2 linked regions of the Struthio camelus genome follow. The protein of the gene in region 2 interacts with the protein of the main gene of each other region in a biochemical or structural test. Links are inferred from orthologs where the notes say so. Each region holds a gene or a part of one and is shown on either strand. Other genes may lie near its edges. The genes, in order: SIX1 and EYA2.

Region 1 (3,902 bases), on a different chromosome or scaffold from region 2:
TGGGAGACGCTGGGGCGGGGACGGACTGGCCCAGGAGCCGATGTGGGGACGTATGAGAAGAGCCGGGAGTCCCGTCGAGAATCACCGGGTAAGCTGTAAAACCGTGTGCTGTCCGCTATGTACAACCGAGGGTCTCTATCCCCGAGGTAAGCCTCCTCTGCCATCGCTCCGGCCGCCGCGGCCCCTTTAGGAGCCCAGATCCACCAGGCTGGACGTGAGGGGTCCCAGCAGCGAGTCCTGGAGCTGGTGCCCTTGGAGGCTGTGCGCGGTCTGCGAGGCGGCGAGGCCGCCCAGGGCGTAGCCGGAGCTCCTGGCGTGGCCGAGGTTGCCCTGCAGCAGGAGGACCGAGTTCTGATCGGGGCTCTGCGGCGGCGAAAACTCTTCCTCCGAGCTGGACATGAGGGGTTTGCTCCCGTCCAAGGGCGACAGCTGGTTCGGCTTGTTGGTGGCCGCGTTGTTGTTTTCCGTGTTCTCCCTGCGGAAGGCAGAAATAAACAGCGGGGCCGTTACCGCGGGGCAGCGGCGGGAGGCGCCCGGGCCGCGGCCGCGCCAGCGGCGGGGGGGGGGGGGACGCGGCCGCCGCGGCGCTCAGGCCCCCGGCGGAGCCCGTGGGTTTGGTTTTACTGTGCTAGCAGAAGCCTCTCCCCAAGCAACATTAAAAAAAAAGCGTCTAATATTTTAATAACGGATCGTCCCCGCAGCTGCCGTTCTTGGCCCCCTATTTAGACAGCTGCGCCCCATCATGTAAACCGAAGTGCCTGTTAATTTAGGTGAGGGGGGAAGGTTGAGTGGTGAGGGGGGATTACAAATTTTTTCCCCCCTCTCCTTTTAATTAAATTACAACTTAAAGCATGGCTCCGAGGCCCAGAAACGCACTCAGCGCTTGGAGGGACTCGGAAAGGTTTTCTCCGAAAATGGGGGAGGTGGGAAGGCTCCTAGCGGGGACACAAAACCAGGGACGATGCGTGCTGGGGCCGAGGCCACCGCTCCGGCTGCCGGGCCCGGCCAGCGGCCTGGCTCCGGGGCAGAGGCGGCAGCGGGCTGAGCCGGGCCGCGGCCCCGAGGGGAGCCCGGCCAGCGGGTCCCAGCCCGGACTCCCGCCGCATCCTGCCCTCGCCCGCCCGTGGCGCCGCTCCCCCCGGCCTCGGGGCCGCCCCCGCGCCGTGCCCGGCCGAGGAGAGCCCCGGCTCCGGCTCCCTCGGGGCCGGGGCCGCCACCCGCGCTTCCCCCGCCGGCTGCGGCCGCGCCGCTGCCCGCCCGCCCGGGGCGGAAGGCACCAAACAAAAGGCGGGGGCGGCGGAGCGGCCTGGAGAGGCCGGTGAGGGGCTCGCTGCCCCCGGGCAGGTGGGGCCGGGGCCGCTCGCTCCCCCCGCCTCCTCCTGCCGCCAAGCGCGGAAAGCACCCCGGTGCCAGCGCCGCGGCTCCCCTCCGCGCAGCGCGTTTGCAGGGGGAAGCGACACGCAGTTATCCGCGGCAGAAAAAAATAAAATACATGTTTAAAAAAGCGATGCGGAGGCAGCGAGGTATTTACGCGGCTCGCTCCGCTGCCTCAGCCTGGCGCTGCCCGGCCGGCTGCAGCGCGGCGCGGAGCAGGAGCCGAGCAAGGGCCCGCCCGAGCTGCCCTGGGCCGGGCCGGCACCCCGCGGCGGCCGGGCAGCCGCGCTGCCTGCGCCGGGCTCGGGCTCGCCGCGCTGCCCCCCGCGCCCGACCTCCGCCTGCCACCCCGCCGCGGGGCCGGGAGAAGGAAGGGGTGCGGGGTCGGGGAGGGGGGGGGGCGGTTGCGACCTCCAGGCAAAAGTACCTTTCCTTCGCCTCCGCCGCTCGGTCCCGCTGCCTCCTGTTCTTGAACCAGTTGCTGACCTGGGTGGTGGTGAGGCCGGTGGCTTCCGCCAGCTCCCGCTTCTCGCGGGGCGACGGGTAGGGGTTGTGCGCGTACCACTCCCGCAGCACGCCCCGCGACTTCTCCTTGAAGCAGTAGCTGGTCTCCTCGCCGTCCCAGATGGTGCGCGGCAGCGGGAATTTTCGGCGCACGCGGTACTTGCCCACGGCGCCCAGGGGCCGTCCCCGCAGCTTCTCGGCTTCCACGTAGTGCGCCTTGAGCCAGAGCTGCTGCAGCTTGGGGTGGTTGTGGGGCGAGAACTGGTGGCTCTCCAGGATCTTGTAGAGCTCGCGGAAGTTGCCCCGGTGGAAAGCCACCACCGCCTTGGCCTTGAGGACGCTCTCGTTCTTGTGCAGGTGGTCGCAGGCCGGCAGCGACCAGAGGAACCGGCCGAGCCTCTCCAGGTTCCCCCCTTGCTGCAGCACTTCGCAGACGCAGGCGACCTGCTCCTGCGTGAAGCCAAAGGAAGGCAGCATCGACATGGCCAGGGCTCCGCGCCGGGCACGGCCGGCGGGGCGCGGGGAAGGCGGCGGCGGGCGAGGGGCACCGCGCGCGACGCGATGGCCGCTGCGCGGAGCGCGCAGGCAGCCGCCCGCCGGGCCCTTTCCCGTGCGCCGAGCGGGGAGGCGCGGAGCAGCCGGGGGCGGGCGGCGCAGCGGCCAGGCGAGCGGGGATGCTCGGCGCGGCGCCGGGGGGACTTTGTCCCCGCTCCGCCGCCGCCGCGCTTAAAGCGCCCGAGCCCCCGCGCCGCGCTGATTGGGCGCCCGCGGCTCGGCCCCCGCCGCGGCGGGCCCGGCCCGGCCCGGCCCAGCCCGGCCCAGCCCGGCCCGGCGGGCAGAGCCTCGGCACGGGCGGGCGGGGCCTGGCGGCGCGGTCCCGGCCCCGGCCCCGGCCGCCGCGGCTGCGCTTCCCGCCGCCGCCTCTGCGCGGGTGCGGGTGCGGCCGCGGGGGGAGCCCCGCTGACTGCTACGGGCGCATCTCTGGGAGGAAAAAAAAAAAAAAAAGAAAAACACACACACACACACACACACACGCTCCTGGCGGACTTCTTCTTTTCTTTCTTCCTTTCTGTTTTTCCTAATCCCCCACCCCCTACGCCCGCTCCCTGTCCTCCTCGGATCGGCTCGTTCCATGCGAGCCCATATTTAATTACCTTAATGTTGGGGATGAATAAATAATGGCTTGATGAATAGCGTATGCAGCACGCTGAGTAACAGCGCGGAGGCGCAGCCCGCTGCGGGAGCGCGGAGCGGGGCCGGTCGTCCTGCCCCCACCCCGGCCCCCTGCCCGGCCCCGGCTCTGCCCCGCGGAGCCAGGCGGGATCCCGGCGGGCCCCGGCGCCCCGGGCCCGGCAGCGCGGGCGCGGCAGGTCGGCGAGGAGCCTTTCGCCGGCTCGCCCCGAGGAAGCCGTGCGTGCGCCGGGTAGCAAAACCGCACCGACCGGCGGCGCTTTAATTACCCTAATCCTCATTTGCACACCTCGCTCGAAAGCCATTATTTAAAAAATTAGAAAACAATTAGCCTCCCTAAGCAAAGATAATCTATTGTCAGTAGCCAGGACGGGTTGAGAGATGAGGACAATGCGCTGAGATAAGGGCAAGGGAATGGTGGGAAGAGGGTGTCTTTATGACTGTATTTATCTTTGATTAGATAAGTAGCAACCAGTATTTTAAGCGCACTTCAGAACGCTTTTGATTAAAGAACGAGTTCACTTAGTGGGTGCTAATAACAATCGCAGGGCTCTTTAAAACCTGTTTGTCCTCACTAAATACGTTTTGATTTGTTTGACTTTAAATGCTTAAAGTGAAGAGCAGCCCATTTGTGGCCGAGGCGGAGAGCGGCTCCGAGCCGCTCGCGGTGCCCGACGCCTCTGCCCCGCTCCGTGCCAGCAGCCTCTGCCTTCTCCGCGAAATCCCGATTTGCCTCTGGGGCCGCGAGAGCCCAAATAGCAGCGAAGGGCAGAGCGCGGCGGCGGAGCCCCTCCAGCCCGCAGTACAATGGAAAAGGCCGGTCTCGATATTTT
Region 2 (3,902 bases):
CAAAGAGTAATTAGTCTTCAGCAGTGTTCTTGCCTGTTCTCCAGCTGAAGACACCTTAAAACCATCTGCTCGCTACAAAGCTTGGCACAGAAGAAACAAATCTTACTGAAGATAATTATAACTGATTTTAGAATAGCTGTTGTACTACTACATGTCATAAATAGTTGGGAAGATAGTAGAAGACTACTAACTTATTTAATTGTTTTTTGCCAAGAGTATGCATATATGCACACTGATCACACAAATACAGCCACACTGACTTCAGGGGGACTCCTTACAAGCTTGAAGTTAAATATCCACTTAATTTTTGCAGAATTAATAGTTAAACTATTTAATTTTCAGAAAAATATAACTTGTTCAATCACCTAAGAGCTACAAAACAGCAACACAAGGGGAATTCTTTAAGTGATATTCTGACATCTTGTTCTTAACATGAGTACCTGAGCTTAATTCCTTCATATAATCAAGGTATACCCACACGCATCACGTAGCTGAATACGGATGTTACTGTTGGAGGGGGAATTATCAATGTTGTTCTTCCTAAGGAAGCTCTTTTAATGAAATTTAAGACTGCCAAAGTCGTAAGATTTGAAGCAACAGCCCATTTCAAACATTTAAACATTTCAACCAAACACTGGTGATACGATTTGCGAGTCATGGGAACCAAGTCTCTATGTAGCACTTAAAAAAAAAAAAAAAGCAGCGCTGTGGAGAGTGGGCTAAACAAAGCAAAACAAAACGGTGAGCCTAAAACCAAACAAATACAAAGCTTGCTATTTAGCAAACTGCTCTGAAATTTTTGGGGGGTGGGGGGGCTCTGAGAGGAAGAGGCAAGAGAATCGCATGGACAACTTGACTCTTAACTTTACAATTTAATTTTGACTCAAACGGCAAGAAATTGTTTTTTGAAGAGAAAATAATTAAATCAAGTTATCAACTGCAATGTCATTTCACATGAATTTTCAAAACATGCTTAAAGAGACTTTGGAATGTTTCCAAAGCTGCAAGCTCTAATTATTTTCAGGGTATTTGTACCCTTTCCTATCTGCACATGTAACATTTAAGGCCACATGATGCCTTCAATATCAGAGCAGATAAAAAAAAGACCAGCTTTAAGAAAAAGTAAAGGTTGATATAAGCCAAAGAAGAAAAGAAGAAAGCTTATCCTGCATCCAACAACCTCTAATAGACAAGCAACAACGCAATGAGAGACATATAAAGGAGTTAAGAACCATTCATTTAAACGCAGAACAACTATGTTAAATATATGCTATCTTTGGGGGACCAGACAGCTCAAATACACGCAGCTGTAAGCAGGCAGAAGTTAGACACGGTTTCCCAAAGTATTGGGGGAAAAGCTCTCTATGGAGAGCGCTCCAGAGACGGGAAATTCTCAAAGTTACAAAGTCCAGGAGAAAGATTAAACAGTAAACTATTCCTGCCATTGACATTAGCAGCGTTAAGGGATAGGTGCATTTGATATTACACTGAATAAAATGTCTGTTAGTAAGTTTCATGTAGACCAATAAACTGTTTATTGGTCAACCGTATATATTTTAACGATTAAAATTTCATCCAAAAGAACATATAATTTGAAAAATCTAAAAACAGCAGCTGTATACCACGAATAATTTCCTTCAGAGGCCAGTCGCTGGGCTCAATCATAATTTAACACTCAATAAGTTCACTTAAAGCGTATAAATCACTAGAAGTTTTCCCTCATACGAGCAAATGCAAAAAAGCGCATTAACTCCTTTTATTTAAACGCGCGCTTAAGTCAGCGGAACAATTATTAAACGCAACGCGGCTAGTTTGAGGGCCGAGTTAAACGCCACGCCGTGCCCCGAGACCACACCGCGAACCCAGGGCTGCAGCCCCGCGCCGCAGCCGGCCCCGCGCCCGCCGCCCTCCGCCGGGGCCAGCGCCCCGCTCCGCGCGGGGAGGCGGTTTCGCACTTTCCGCTACCGCGGGCGAGCAGATCCCAGCTGCACAGCTCGCCCGCAGCCGCCGGGCCCCCTCCGCGGGCGCGGACAGAGCAGTCGAGAGGATTAGCCGCGTATGCCAGCGCCCCCGCGCAGGGCGAGCCGCGCCGTGCCCCCGCGCCCCTACTCACCGGAGGTGCAGCGCAGAGCCGCGGCGCTGCGGAGTGTGCGCGCCCGCTGCGGGCGCAGTGAGCATGTGCGAGGCAGGCGCGCATGCCCGCGGAAAGGAGCGGAGCGGGGCGGCGGCTCCGCGCTGCGCCGGGGGCTCGCCCGGCCTCCCCCCTCCGCGCCGTGCCGGCAGCGCGCCTCTCCGCGGGGCAGCGCGGCGCGCGCAGGGGCCGCTCCGGCCCGCGCGGGCGGCTTGGAACCGCGTAACGCGACCTGTTGCTTCCGCAGGAGCGAGCACAGCCCCCCGCCCCGCCGCGCACCTACCGCTCGCGCGGTGCCGCCGTGCCGCCCCGCCGCACTGCGCGGCCGCGGAGGGGGGGGGAAGGAGGAGGAGAAGGAGGGGCTTCCGCGGGCGCGGCGCCGGCAGCCGCGGCCGGAGGCGCGCCCCGCTGCGAGCCGGGAGCCGCCGCCGCGCACCCGCGGCCGCTCCGCCGCCGCTTATAGCCGCGGCCGGCCCGCGCCTCCACGTGATAGCGGGCGCTCTCCGGGCGCGCTTTTGTCCTCCCCGCCGCAGCGCTACCTTCCGAAGCGCTCACGCTACGCTGTTTTGAAAAGCTGTTTGCGGCTTACAGCCTTGGCATCCGCGTACCGTCTCAGCCACGGGCTCCGCTCCGCTGCGGACGCATCCTGCTTCCGCAGAGACTCCGCAGTCTTTGCGTTAATAGTCTCTTGACCACCTAGTGACAATTTGTAAATGTTAGTTTAAACAAAGAATGCTTTTTTGTGACCGTTTCCTTTGACGCGCACCGCACCGCAGAGTTGCTGCTGGGTGCGTTCAGGCTGGGTCCTGCAAACGCACAGAAATCCCTGTTCTCACGTGAGCCGTCCCTCCACACTCACAAGTGTGGACGCTCACACGTCTCCGGACCAGAAAACCCCTGGTGCCACCTTGCTTTGGTCTGCAATACCGTCAAGGGCGCCAGGACTCAGGGACACAGAGGTGCTCCATCTCCCGTGTCCACTCAAGACCTGAGACCCCTCTGGTACAGGCACCCAGAGTGGGACTTCCGTCTGTCACCAATTTGAGCCCAATTGCAGCTTCTCTGCTTGTCTCCCCGAAAGCAGGGAAGCATCTGAGGAGACCAGTGCGTCGGCACCCCAGGGGGTTTTATTATACCTCACCTCACCTTTCTCCTGGACAGCAATACCCTACGAATTGCAGGGGAAGGGAAAAGCCAAAGGAGCAGAAAGGGTGTTGAGTTCAGGGCTTGAACAAGCTGCAGCCCACTCATGGATTTAACTCAAAATTTTGACAATGGAACAAAAACATCATTGCAACTAGACAGCTGTTTTTACTATCAAAACCTCTCAGATCAGTTTGACTGCAAAGTGTGTTCCTACAGTCCAAAGGAGACAAAGCTCCTAGCATCAGTCCAGAGCTGGCAAACTTCCTAGCATGAGCTACCTCCCGCCGGCCTAGGAAAACCAAAGCTCTTTCAGTTGTTATTCCCCATCAGTTCTCAGCACTAACCCTGTGATTTCCCCGCGGATTATCTGCAGTTCTGAATTTACACCGCTCTCACGTTAAACCGGGAGAGAGTGCTTGGTGGTTCTAGGACTTCCTTGCTGCCCTTAACTGTAATCTGCCTTTTGGTGAGGAGCCTCTTGAGTATAAGCAAGCACCTATGTCCTTAGGACCTGTCTCAAAAAATTTCCCCCTACCCGGAAACCCGGTTGCCACATTTGCTGCTTTTTGAAGCTGGTCTTAACAAGTTCACATGTAATCATTGAAAAATGCCTTGCATGCAAGAT

Evidence for each region.
Region 1: the proteins of EYA2 (region 2) and SIX1 form a complex in vitro, tested with the Homo sapiens proteins (2 studies listed by IntAct, with this or other methods). The link is inferred for Struthio camelus from reciprocal best matches to the Homo sapiens genes EYA2 and SIX1.

Annotation. Positions count from the first base shown.
Region 1 is NC_090946.1:77,108,939-77,112,840, reverse strand, and holds the start of SIX1 (homeobox protein SIX1), read right to left. Parts: upstream 2,400-3,902; 5' UTR 2,362-2,399; coding exon 1,802-2,361; intron 476-1,801; coding exon 187-475; 3' UTR 1-186. UniProt on the Homo sapiens protein: Transcription factor that is involved in the regulation of cell proliferation, apoptosis and embryonic development. Plays an important role in the development of several organs, including kidney, muscle and inner ear.
Region 2 is NC_090959.1:8,470,495-8,474,396, reverse strand, and holds the start of EYA2 (eyes absent homolog 2), read right to left. Parts: upstream 2,232-3,902; 5' UTR 2,179-2,231; coding exon 2,114-2,178; intron 1-2,113. UniProt on the Homo sapiens protein: Functions both as protein phosphatase and as transcriptional coactivator for SIX1, and probably also for SIX2, SIX4 and SIX5.